Linked DNA regions of Oryctolagus cuniculus. The protein of the gene in region 3 purifies or fractionates together with the protein of the main gene of each other region. This does not show direct contact. Links are inferred from orthologs where the notes say so. Each region holds a gene or a part of one and is shown on either strand. Other genes may lie near its edges.

Region 1 (3,314 bases), on a different chromosome or scaffold from region 3:
CCAGCGATGGAAGGCCTCTCCCCCGCCGTCTCTGCCCTTCAAGTGCGTAAAGGGACAGGAATCCTCGGGCGTGCGCTTTTGCACACCTCCCAGTTATCACGCGGAAAAGGCTCTGAGTGCCGGAGGGAGAGCAGCCCCGGGATGGCGGGCACTCGGGCGGGGACTCAGGGCGCTCCAGCAGCGTCCCAGACATTCCTGGGCGGAGCCCGGGTGGACACAGGACGTTTCTCCCGGGTGTGAGCAGTGGGAACTTCCAGCAGGGCCTCTGCGTCTGCACGTAGCCGCAGTGGCCCAGGAGCTGCGGCCTGGAGGCTCCTGACCCCAGTGGCGCCTGGGGGGCCTGGCCTCGCCTAGACCCATCCCCGCCCCCGCCGCCACGGCCGAGGCCTGCGATCCCAGGCTGAGTGCTGGGCACTGAGGAGCCCTGCGCTGCCCTGGAACGTGGCGATCCCTCCCCCGTTGCAGGCACCAGGCCCGCCTTCCTAGGAACTCCCGTGCCCCTGGGGGCCCTGGGCCTCCCCCATAGCCATCTGCACTGGCTTCTTGGAGCTGCTCCTAGCGTATTCCACAAGCCTGTTCCAACCCCAAGGCCTGGGCACTCCCGTTTGCCACCCACCCCAGCAAGGCCAGAGCCTGCCCGCCATGTCCCCACCCTGGGATTTCCTGCTGCCCAGTTCCAGGAGCAGACCTGATGCTCACCCCTCACCCGATTCACCACCTTACAGACGAGGACCCGCTGGAGTCCCGGGGCACGGGTGTGTGTGGGGGGGTGGGGGTGGGGCGATGGCTGCACCTGCTGTGCCCGCAGCCCCCACAGCCCCGCCTCCAGCACGCGGGGCGCTCCCTCCCCGGGGAGCAGCCCAGGGCCTTGGTGTGTCCTGTGTGGAGGAGGGAAGAACCCATCCTTGGGGGCCACAGTCTGTGTGGGAGTGGGGCAGGGGTCGCAGCGGAACACCGGGGCTTTCCGACTCCAGCGCGGATCCTGGGGTGGGGGTGAGGACGGCCACAGCCACTCAAAGCGCGGTCAGAAACAGCCAGGGCCGGGGTCTCCAACAAGCCCGGCCCGCCCCACCCCGGCCCAGCACCCAGAGAGTCTCACGTTTCGTTTCTGCTTGTTTATAAATGACTGGAAAAGGCGACGCGAGAGGCTAACAGCTGTTGTCTAAAGGCGAGGCCGAGGCGTGGGTCCCTGGGCCCAGAGGCACTGCTCGGACTGGCCCAGGCTGGGCGGGCGCCGGAGGCCAGCGACACAGGGGCTGCGGTGCTGCCGCCAAGGTGGCGGGGCCCCCAACCCACGCGGGGCCGCCGCGCGCTCCCCTCCCCCGCCCAGCACCCGCCTGTCACCCCAGCCTCCTCCCTAGTGTAGGGGCAGGTGCTGCGGCGGGCAGGGGCGGCGGGCCAGGGTCCAGGGCAGCCCGGGCCCGCGTGTGCTGCGTCTGCAGGTGTGCGCGGGCCGGCGGGGCTCGGTGCTGCGTGGCGAGGGGTCACGTGCGGGTGTGTCCTCGCTGACAACCAGTGGGGGCCGGGAGGACTCCTGGAGTGGCCGGCGGCGGCCCAGCCCACACGCGGCGCCCCTCCCGGGGGCTGCCTCGGCTGCTGACCACCGGGACACGGGCAGACCAGGCTGAACCCGAGGCCCAGCGAGAGGCGCGGCCGAGGGGGACGGCAGGGCGGGCGGCGCGTGGTGGGCGCGCGCGGCCTCAGAAGGCGAAGCAGCGCTCCTTGGCGTGGCCCACGCGCTCCAGGTTGGGCAGGCAGGCGAACTGGATCATGGGCGGGGGCCCGCACATCAGCACCAGCGGCTCGTCCTCGGGGGGCGGCAGGTGGTCCCGGATCATCTCCTGGTTCACGAAGCCCTGGCTGTAGTCCCAGGCTGCGGGGAGAGATGGGGTGAGGCACTGCCCACGACCCTGCACGGAGGCCACGCACACGCCCTTCCCCTGCCCAGCCCGCCTCTGTGTGGCCTCTCACGTGGCCCTCGGGCAGTGGTTCCTGAGCCCATTTAACAGATGTGCACACCGAGGCCAAGACTCCACCATCCGGGCCCAGCCCCGGCTGGCCGGGGCGACGTCATGTCCCGCTGCGGGCCCACTGACTCCGCCCACACCCAGTGCGGGCCCACTGACTCCGCCCACACCCAGTGCGGGGGGGGGGCACTGACTCCGCCCACACCCAGTGCGGGCCCACTGACTCCGCCCACACCCAGTGGGGGGGTGGGGGGCACTGACTCCGCCCACACCCAGTGGTGGGGGTTGGGGGGCACTCACTCCGCCCACACCCAGTGCGGGGGGGCACTGACTCCGCCCACACCCAGTGCGGGCCCACTGACTCCGCCCACACCCAGTGGTGGGGTTGGGGGGGCACTGACTCCGCCCACACCCAGTGCGGGGGGGCCACTGACTCCGCCCACACCCAGTGCGGGCCCACTGACTCCGCCCACACCCAGTGGGGGGTGGGGGCACTGACTCCGCCCACACCCAGTGGTGGGGGTTGGGGGGCACTGACTCCGCCCACACCCAGTGCGGGGGGGGCACTGACTCCGCCCACACCCAGGGCGGGCCCACTGACTCCGCCCACACCCAGTGCGGGGGGGGCACTGACTCCGCCCACACCCAGTGCGGGGGGGCACTGACTCCGCCCACACCCAGTGGTGGGGGTTGGGGGGCACTGACTCCACCCACACCCAGGGCGCGCAGCGTCCGCTGCAGGGTATACGCGAGATGAACAGTGAACTGGAGACGCGTGCCCCAGCACTCAGTCCGCGAGCCCGGAAAGGCAGGGCCGGGACCCAGGCCAGGTCCAGGAGCCCCGCCGGACCCGCCTGCCTCCCTCCCGCACACACAGTGCCGCTGTCTCCAGGCTGGCCACCTTCTACCTCCTCAGGCTACAGTGCCCCAAGGCTGGAAGGGCTGCGGGTTCACCAGGGACCCTCAGGGACCGGCCGGCTAGGAGACCCCCAGCCAGCGAGCGGTGGGTCAGCAGGACTGGAACGCAGGAGAACGGGGGCCCGGCGGCAGCAGAGCGAGGGAGGGCCGGCGGAGACCCACCCGGCCCCCCTGCACCTCGGTTCCGCGTGTGCACCTGCAGCCCGAGCCCCGCCCACCCTAGGGCACGGAGGCCCCCGCTGTCAAGGGCGCCTCGCGACCACCGGCTGAGCCGCGGGACGTAGGCTTAGGTTTGCCAGCCCTCCCGGAGGTTTCCCGTGCTCGGGGTCTGACACGTGCTGGTGCCTCCCCAGGGACCCCTGCGCCCGGGAACACGCAGGCCAGCCGCACGCCACCACCTCCATGCCTCCTGGCCAGGGAGCCCCCGGC
Region 2 (4,336 bases), on a different chromosome or scaffold from region 3:
CCCCACCAGACGCACTCTGGGGCACAGCCGTGCTTTCCCAGGCAGGACGCACCCAGCGTGGCAGACAGGCTGTGGCCTGCGTCTGTTGTCTGCTGACGCGCCTGGTCACTCATTCACTGAGCAGTTCTTTAACGTGTTTGACTAGACACTGTCATCTGGTTAACGCAGATAATCTCTGACTTTCTTATGACGAGCATAAGCACACTCATTGCCAAATGTCAGTTCCTTTAGTAGCAAAGCATTTTCACACAGGAGACGAGTGCCTGGGACTCACATTTCAAAGACGAAAATGTTCCTTTTTTTTTTTTTTTTTTTTTTTTTTTTTGATTCACAGCTATTTCTTACATTTAAAACCAGAGACAAGGAAATGCTATTTCCCTAGATTTTTAGAGGTTTATCCTGTGTTAACGAGTCTTACATATTAAAGAACAGATTTTAATTTGGTTGAAAATCTGGCAGAAAAGATATATTTTGTTTCATAAATTGAGCTATGTGAAAGTCTAAAAAGTAGCAGAAGGTTAACGAGAAAGGAAGAATGGAAGTGGGGTGAGAGATTTGTACTTGGGTATTTGTGGAGCATGTTCAAAGAGGAAGGGTTTATAGCTCACGCCTTCCTTTCCTAACAGGCCACTGCTGAAGCCAACAACTTAGCGGCGGCAGCCGCTGCCAAGGACGTGTATTACAACAACATGGAAGAGGTATGTGGGCAGGTGCCTGATCCTGAGGTGTCGCGATACCTGACCATGCGGCTGTCTTCCGAGGCCCAAACTTGATCTGACTTGACACTGCAGGGGGGCTGGTATTGTGGCACAGCGGGTTAAACCATCACTTGTGATGCCTGTTCGAGTCCAAGCTGCTTGGCTTCCAATCCAGCTGCTTGCTAATGCACCCAGGAAAGCAGCGGAAGATGCCCCAAGTACTTGGGCGCCTGCACCCACATGGGAGACCTGGATGGAGTTCTGGGTTCCTGGCTTTGGCCTTGCCCCAGCCCTGGCTCTTGCATTCATCTGGGGGAGTGAACCAGCAGATGAAAGAGCACTCTCTCTCTCTCTCTGTCTTTTCTCTCTCTCTAACTCTGCCTGTCAAATAAATAAATAAATAAGTATATATTTTTATTTGACAGGTAGAGTTGCAGACAGAGGGAGAGACAGAGAGAAAGGTCTTCCTTCTGTTGGTTCACCCCCCAAATGGCCGCTATAGCCGGTGTGTTGCACTGATCCGAAGCCAGGAGCCAGGTGCTTCCTCCTGGTCTCCCATACAGGTGCGGGGGCCCAAGCACTTGGGCCATCCTCCACTGCCTTTCCAGGCCACAGCAGAGAGCTGGGCTGGAAGAGGAGCAACCGACACTAGAACCCGGGGCCCATATGGGATGCCGGCGCTGCAGGCGGAGGATTAACCAAGTGAGCCACGGCGCTAAAAAAATAATTTTTTAAAAAAGTTATGAGGCAGCAAAGCTGTATTCAGGCCATTGTGATAACCAGGTCCTTCTGATCACCATTTCGTTTCTTTTTTTTAAAAATATATGTGTTTTACTTATTCTTTTTTATTTAAGGTATACAGGTTACATGTATTTGGTGTACACCAGTTTAGGAGTGTGGTGATGCTTCCCACGCTCCCACCCTTCCTCCTCCTTCCTCTCCTCATCCTCCTCTTTAATTTTTACAGTGATCTACTTTGAGTTTATTTTACACTCATGAGATTAACCCTACACTAAGTAAAGAGTTCAAGAAATAATAATAATTAAAAAAACACTGTTCAGGGCTGTAAACAGTCATCGAAGCTCAAAACGTCGATTTCACTCTTCTGATGGTCATTTCTTTCCGTTTCCGGGCCACGCTGAGCTCCTCACTCTGCTTACCCAAGTGCGCTCTGCAGAGGAGTGAGACCAGACTTCACTGGTCTCCGTCACCTTCTGAGAGTTAACTGACGCTTGCCGCAGCAGCTCAGTTGTGAGTGTGTCACCCACCTTTCCTAGCAGAGTGCTGGCTGGAGTGCTGGCTGCTCTGCTCCCATCCAGCTTCCTGCTGCTGTGCCCCTGGGAGGCAGCAGGTGGATGGCCCGAGTGCCTGGGTCCCTGCCACCCACATGGGAGACCTGGTTGGACAGTTCTGGGCTCCTGGCTTCAGTCTGGCCCAGCCCTGTTTGTCGTGAGCATTTGGGAGTGAACCAGAGAAGAAAGATCTCTCTTTGTCTTTCAAACAAAATGAAAATAAACAGTGAAAAAGTTTTTTTTTTTTTTTTTTTTTAAGATGTATTCATTTATTTGAAAGAGTTACAGAGAGGCAGAGGCAGAGAGAGGAGCTGGGCCGATCCGAAGCCAGGAACCAGGAGCCTCTTCTAGGTCTCCCACGTGGATGCAGGGGCCCAAGTACGTGGGCCACCTTCTACTGCTTTCCCAGGCCACAGCAGAGAGCTGGATGGGAAGTGGAGCAGCTGGGACTTGAACTGGTGCCTAATGGGATGCCGGCACTGCAGGCAGCAGCTTTACCTGCTACGCCACAGTGCCGGCCCCGAAGTGAACACAGTGATAAGAGATTAACGTCTGATACTTAAAGCCTTGTAACCTTTGAGAGTCTTCACCTGTTTTTGAAGGGACCTTCGCCATGCCGTGTCTCTGTTGCCTGCAGGTTTGTGGGGGCGAGAAGCCTTACCTGTCCCCTGACATTCTAGAGGAGAAGCACAGTGAGTTCAGACAGCTCGCTCTGGACCACTTCAGGAAGACCAAGAAGATGGGCGGGAAGGACTTCAGCCTGCGCTACCAGCAGGAGCTGGAGGAGGAGATCGGGGAGCTGTACGGCAGCTTCTGCAGGCACAACAGCAGCAAGAACGTCTTCAGCACCTTCCGCACGCCCGCCGTGCTCTTCGCGGGCATCGTGGCCCTCTACATCGCCTCGGGCCTCACCGGCTTCGTGGGCCTCGAGGTCGTGGCCCAGCTGTTCAACTGCATGGTCGGGCTGCTGCTGATAGCGCTGCTCACCTGGGGCTACATCCGGTACTCCGGCCAGTACCGCGAGCTGGGCGGAGCTATCGATGTGGGTGCGGCCTATGTGTTGGAGCAGGTGAGTGGTGTGGGGTGATGGTGGGCGGCCGGGTCAGCTTCTGTCGTGAAACATCTCGGAGTTTGGTAGCAAAGAGGGCATGAGAAACCTCCCTGGGCCGTTTTTAAACTTCCTTGGCTTTAGTCTGTTATCCTCTTTGGGATAGGAGTAGTTATTCCTGATGTTTTGTTTCCATGACTTAAAGTGGGCCTTTAGTATATAAAAAGTTTCAAATTAGAGTAGGGTGTCCCTCACAGGAAACCTATGGGTGCTTTTTTTTTTTTTTTAAAGATTTATGTATTTATTTGAAAGTCACAGTTACACAGAGAGAAAAGGACAGGCAGAGAGAGAGAGGCCTTCCATCCGCTGGTTCACTCCTCAGATGGCCACTATGGCCAGAGCTGGGCCAGTCTGAAGCCAGGAGCCAGGAGCTTCTTCCAGGTCTCCCACGCAGGTTCAGGGGCCCAAGCACTTGGACCATCTTCCACTGCTTTCCCAGGCCACAGCAGAGAGCTGGATCGGAAGTGGAGCAGCCAGGACTTGAACCGGCACCCAAATGGGATGCAGGCACTGCAGGCAGCGGCTTTACCTGCCACGCTACAGTGCTGGCCCTGTGCGTGCTCTTTAGACACAATTCCTGTGTGATTCGGCCTTCTCCTCTCCATGATCTTGCTTTGCTGAAAATCAAGAGTCCTGAAAAAAATATGAACTCAACAAGAGATGACATCTCCTTCATTTAAAATCTTCCAACAAGTCAGCGGCTCTTTGCAGAGGTCGTCTCCAGCTTTACAGATCTTTGAGACTAGCTCGTGTCTTTCTGAGTGACAGGAGCAGATCGGGTAGGCCCGTAGCGTGGTGAGCCAAAGGAGCTGGCCGCCCCGTCACAGGGCAGAGGGTCCTGGGGTTCCGGGTGGGCAGCTCCCGCAGCCTCCCCTCCCCCCGCGTTCTCCTCTCGTAAGCCATCGCTGGGGGAGGCGGAGGTGTGTGTCTCCAAGGACGGCTCGTGGTGCTGAGTTGTGTTGCATTAACTTAGGTGTGAATGTGTGGACTCTTGCAGGCTTCTTCTCACATTGGTAATTCCACTCAGGCTGCCATGAGGGAGGCCGTGGTCGGGCGGCCTTCCACGGAGAAGAAAGCGCAGTAGCATCGGAACGTGAGGACCCTGCGAGAGCCGCCTGCCGCCGCCAGCCCCTGCCGAGTCCTGGCTCCCGCCGCACCACGGGGCCTGGCCGAGGAGCCGAGGCTGTGAGACCCCTGGGCAGCGCGGACCTGTGGCGCTGTAATAAATGACCTGGCCT
Region 3 (4,336 bases):
GGGTGCAAGTTCAAGTTCCAGCTGCTCCACTTCCGAACCAGCTCTCTGCTATGGCCTGGGAAAGCAGTGGAAGATGGCCCAAGTGCTTGGGCCTCTGCACACACTTGGGAGACCTCAAAGAAGCTACTGGCTCCTGACTCTGGATTGGCGCATCTCTGGTTGTTGTGGCCAACTGGGGATTGAATCAGCAGATGGAGAGTCTCTCTCTCTCTCTTTCTCTCTGTAACTCTGCCTTTCAAGTAAATTAATGAATCTTAAAAAAAAAAAAAAAAAAAAAAGCTTGCTTCAGCCATGTTTTCCTCAAAAATAATAATTTCTAGTATAACAAAAATCTATCTGAAAATAATGGTTTAATATCTCTGGCTCTTCACGCTATTGAAAAACAATTAAGTCCCCACACCCAGAAGAAGAGATACTGAAACCAATTCTAATTTTAAAATGTGTTTTCTAGTGCCATGATGCAATGTAAAAGTGATTAATGAATAACCGTGTGAAAAAGTTAACAGCAAGGGTGATTAGTGTAAGAGGGGGAAATAAAGCACTAAAACCTTCAACTGAGACAGTGATAAAGAATTATCAATGTGATATATTAGACACTAAAAAAGTATTATAGGGCACAAAGTGTAGAATGTTCTGTTGTTAAAATTTTATAAAAGTACAAAATCACAAATCAGTGTATAGATTAATTACCTGAAGTTTTACTCAGCTCTGCTGAAAATATAGCAGATGGTGATCTGTCCTCTTTCACTGTGTCAGAAGGAAGTTTTTTCTCAGCTTCTTTCACAAGAACTTTGGGTTTAACTATGCTGCCTATTTCTGTTTGAGTGTCCAAAGCAGAAACATCTGGAGGAAGTAAGGGTGCCTTGGCTACATCAGACCTATTTTTGGAGAATTCATCTGAGATTTTATCTTCATCTTTTGGTTGTACCTCCTTGAAAGAAAGGTCACGGGGCAATTCTGAGCAGGGCAATGACCCAGTTCCATCCTGGACATTAGGAATTTCACTTCTGTGGGATACTTCCAAGTCAGTGTACTCCCTGGCTGATTTAGGAGAAGAATCAGTTTTAGAACTAACAAATGCAGGGAACTCATCTATAATCTCAATTGGAGATGAATCTGAAAATGTTTCACTTTCTCTTATTGTGGCTTCCTTAGAAACAAGTAAGTCCTCCTTTGCATAAACTGCAGTTTTGAGATCCTCCATTTGCAAAGGAATTTTCTCCTTTTTGGTCAATGTCAAAACTTCATCAGGTGATGGGCTATCTCTTGTGGTGCTTAAATTGGACTGAAAAGATTCCAAATACGGCTTTCCTCCCTCAGGTAGTAAAGTACTGAGTTTTTCTTTATTTTCATATTCTAACGCTGACTCATATGAAGTTTCAGTGAGATTTTCTTTCAAAAGTATCACAGCTTCATCTTGTCTTTGTGGAACTTCAGGTATTGAATCATCACTAAATAAGTCAACTGGCTCAGAATCAGGTGAGGAATCCTCAACTAACTCAGAACGATCAGGCACTGGCTGTTCAACTTTTGCTATTTCTGAATAATTAGCGAAATCTGGGCTTGGTTCACTAGACAGCTTTGTTTCTTTAATTAAATCACATGCAATGGATATATAAGGAGCTTCTGTTTCTTGAACAACTGCATCAGTAGTTTCAGGCTCTTTAATTTCTTCTTTTATTCCTGATATTTTTTTTACGTTCATTGCCTCTTCATATGGGGGTGGACTTTCAGAATCAAGCTTTACACTTTCATAATTAGCTGAAGGAGGAGCTTCTAACGGTGATGAGCTGGGCTGCCCTGCAGAAGCACCAGCACTAGGAACTACAGTATTTAATGGTGCTTCCATAACAATGTCAGGCAAAACTGGTGATGGAGTAGCTTCAGATTCTTCAAATGATGGGCAAAGCTGTGTTACAGGGTAGAGTGATTCCTGCATAGCTTCTGAGGTTTGCACCAAGTCCATTTTTGTTTCATAGGCAATCTTTGTCCCTGCAGCCTCGTTCAATTCACTTCCACATGCTTCCTGTACTAAATCTGGTGTCAGACCCTCAGGCATGTTTGCCACTGCTTCCCCAGTCACCTTTGATAAATTTTCTGTTGTGACATACTCAGTCTGAGAATCCTGTGTTGCTGCAAGGAAAGGGTTTGAGGATTTGGTGCTAATATTCTTCTCTGTTACAATCTGAGCTTTCTTTTCTTCTATTTTTTTTTCATCTGTCTTATTTTCTGAAGTATGGTCTTCCAGCAAAGGAAAAATGTTTGTTGCAATGCTCTCAGTTGCTGCTGGGTTAAAGGGAGCACATGTGATATATGCTCCTGAACCGTCTTTTACAGCTTCTGGTGTACTGGGAAAAGAAGTATCATCATTACTGCTTTCACTCTCTTTTTCATGATTCGTTTGCTCCAGGCTATCTGCAAAATATTTCTCATCCGCTTTACTTTCCAATTTGCTCTCTATACTACCCCCTGCAGCCGGCATACCACTATCTTCCTTATAAGCATCTTTCACTTCCCATACTCGTTCAAATGGTTTGAAGTCTGCATACTCTTCCCTTATAGGAGCTTCTACTGCAGCTTCCTTTTCATTAAAACTGTCCATTGTTTTTTCTGGAAACATAACTTTGTCCTCTTCTTTCACCAGCTCAGTAAGGGCCACAGGTAAGTCTTGCTGATTACGAAGGATGTTATTACTAACTAAGTCCTCTTCTTCATCTTTATTCTTTGCAATTACTTCTTCCCTAGGGTTTGCTACCATTATGGCAGATTCTGCTTTTGGAGAGCCACTAAATTTTGATCCCATTTCTGAATACTCTAGTTCTGAAAACTCTGTTAAATCTCTATCTACAAATGGATTTTTTGCCTTCTCTGAGAGCTGTTTAGAAGCTTCATTTAAAGTTTCTTGAAGTGTTCCTTCCGTGGATAATACTGCTGGTACATTACCAAGGTATTCATGTTCTTTAAAAGAAGCAGCTGAGAGAGGAGATAGAGAAGGAAGAGAAGCAGCAGTTTCAAGTAGGACAGATGGGAAATCCTCTTGACCAGCTGAAACAGTGTTACCTGGCTTCTCCTTCAAATCCATAATTTGTTCTGTGGCCATAGACAGAAAGGAAAGTTAGAAAATGCCAGTGTTCTCAGAGTTATGCAAGCTTTCTGACAGATTCAATCAAATAGTGTTAGTAAAGACTTAACTGTTAACTAAAATGAAATGTTAATAGCATTTTAATTAATTAACTTAATTAATTAAAATAGAATTTAATTAATAAATAACAAGTAGACTTGAATCACTTCTGAAAATATTAAGCTATCTGTCAGTAAAATAGGTGCATGGCTACTACTCAGCATTGTGGTTAAGAATAATATATTGTATATTTCCAAATAGCTCAAAGAGAATTTTAAATACTCTCATCACAACTAAATGGTAGGTATCTGAGGTGAAGCATACATTATATAGCTTGATATGATCTTTCTACAATATACTTGATACATACTTCGAAGTTCACAGAAAATGGAATTGATACAAAAGTTTATTTTGGTGCAAAAACAAAGTTGAAATCCATACACAGAGGCCGGCATTGTGGCAAGGGTTTGGGCTGCTGTTTGCCTTGCAGGCTTTCTATATGGGCGCCAGCTAATTCCTGGCTGCTCTGCTTCTGATCTAGCTCCTTGCTAATATGCTGGGAAGGCAGCCACCTACATGGGAGACCAGAATGATGTTCCAGGCTCCGGCAGATGGAAGGTATCTCTCTCTTTCCCTCTTTGTCTCCTTCCCTTCCTCCCTCCCTCCCTTTTATTCTGCCTTTCAAATACATTTAATATCTCAAAAAAAAAAAATCCACACGTAAGTATTTCCTAATACACATTTTTCAGCTTTATGAAGACCCCTTCATATTTATAGATTGAAACATTTTTGCACCAAAATAAACTTTTTTTTTGAACAGGCAGAGTGGATAGTGAGAGAGAGAGACAGAGAGAAAGGTCTTCCTTTCCCATTGGTTCACACCCAATGGCCGCTGCAGCCAGCGCACCACACTGATCCAAAGCCAGGAGCCAGGTGCTTCTCCTGGTCTCCCATGCGGGTGCAGGGCCAAGCACTTGGGCCATCCTCCACTGCCTTCCCGGGCCACAGCAGAGAGCTGGACTGGAAGAGGAGCAACCAGGACAGAATCTGGCGCCCCGACAGGGACTAGAACCTCGAGTGCCGGCGCCACAGGCATAGGATTAGCCTATTGAGCCGCGGCACCGGCCCAAAATAAACTTTTAATTCCATATTCTATGAACTTTCTGAAGTATCTTCAAATACATGTAACAAAATATCATGCTGTATCCTATAAAT

What was found. Proteins that work in one complex are often made in the same cells at the same time.
Region 1: the proteins of RTN4 (region 3) and CYB5R3 purify together in Homo sapiens (affinity purification with mass spectrometry; 3 studies listed by BioGRID and IntAct, counting the BioPlex papers as one, with this or other methods). This does not show direct contact. The link is inferred for Oryctolagus cuniculus from reciprocal best matches to the Homo sapiens genes RTN4 and CYB5R3.
Region 2: the proteins of RTN4 (region 3) and ATL3 purify together in Homo sapiens (affinity purification with mass spectrometry; 4 studies listed by BioGRID and IntAct, counting the BioPlex papers as one, with this or other methods). This does not show direct contact. The link is inferred for Oryctolagus cuniculus from reciprocal best matches to the Homo sapiens genes RTN4 and ATL3.

What each region holds. Positions count from the first base shown.
Region 1 is NC_091442.1:118,392,397-118,395,710, forward strand, and holds the end of CYB5R3 (NADH-cytochrome b5 reductase 3), read right to left. Parts: exon of another isoform or gene 3,239-3,314; intron 1,874-3,238; coding exon 1,701-1,873; 3' UTR 1,101-1,700; downstream 1-1,100. UniProt on the Homo sapiens protein: Catalyzes the reduction of two molecules of cytochrome b5 using NADH as the electron donor.
Region 2 is NC_091432.1:7,549,189-7,553,524, forward strand, and holds part of ATL3 (atlastin-3), read left to right. Parts: intron 1-626; coding exon 627-698; intron 699-2,627; coding exon 2,628-3,059; intron 3,060-4,095; coding exon 4,096-4,182; 3' UTR 4,183-4,336. UniProt on the Homo sapiens protein: Atlastin-3 (ATL3) is a membrane-anchored GTPase that mediates the GTP-dependent fusion of endoplasmic reticulum (ER) membranes, maintaining the continuous ER network. It facilitates the formation of three-way junctions where ER tubules intersect.
Region 3 is NC_091433.1:147,544,551-147,548,886, reverse strand, and holds part of RTN4 (reticulon-4), read right to left. Parts: intron 3,091-4,336; coding exon 691-3,090; intron 1-690. UniProt on the Homo sapiens protein: Required to induce the formation and stabilization of endoplasmic reticulum (ER) tubules. They regulate membrane morphogenesis in the ER by promoting tubular ER production.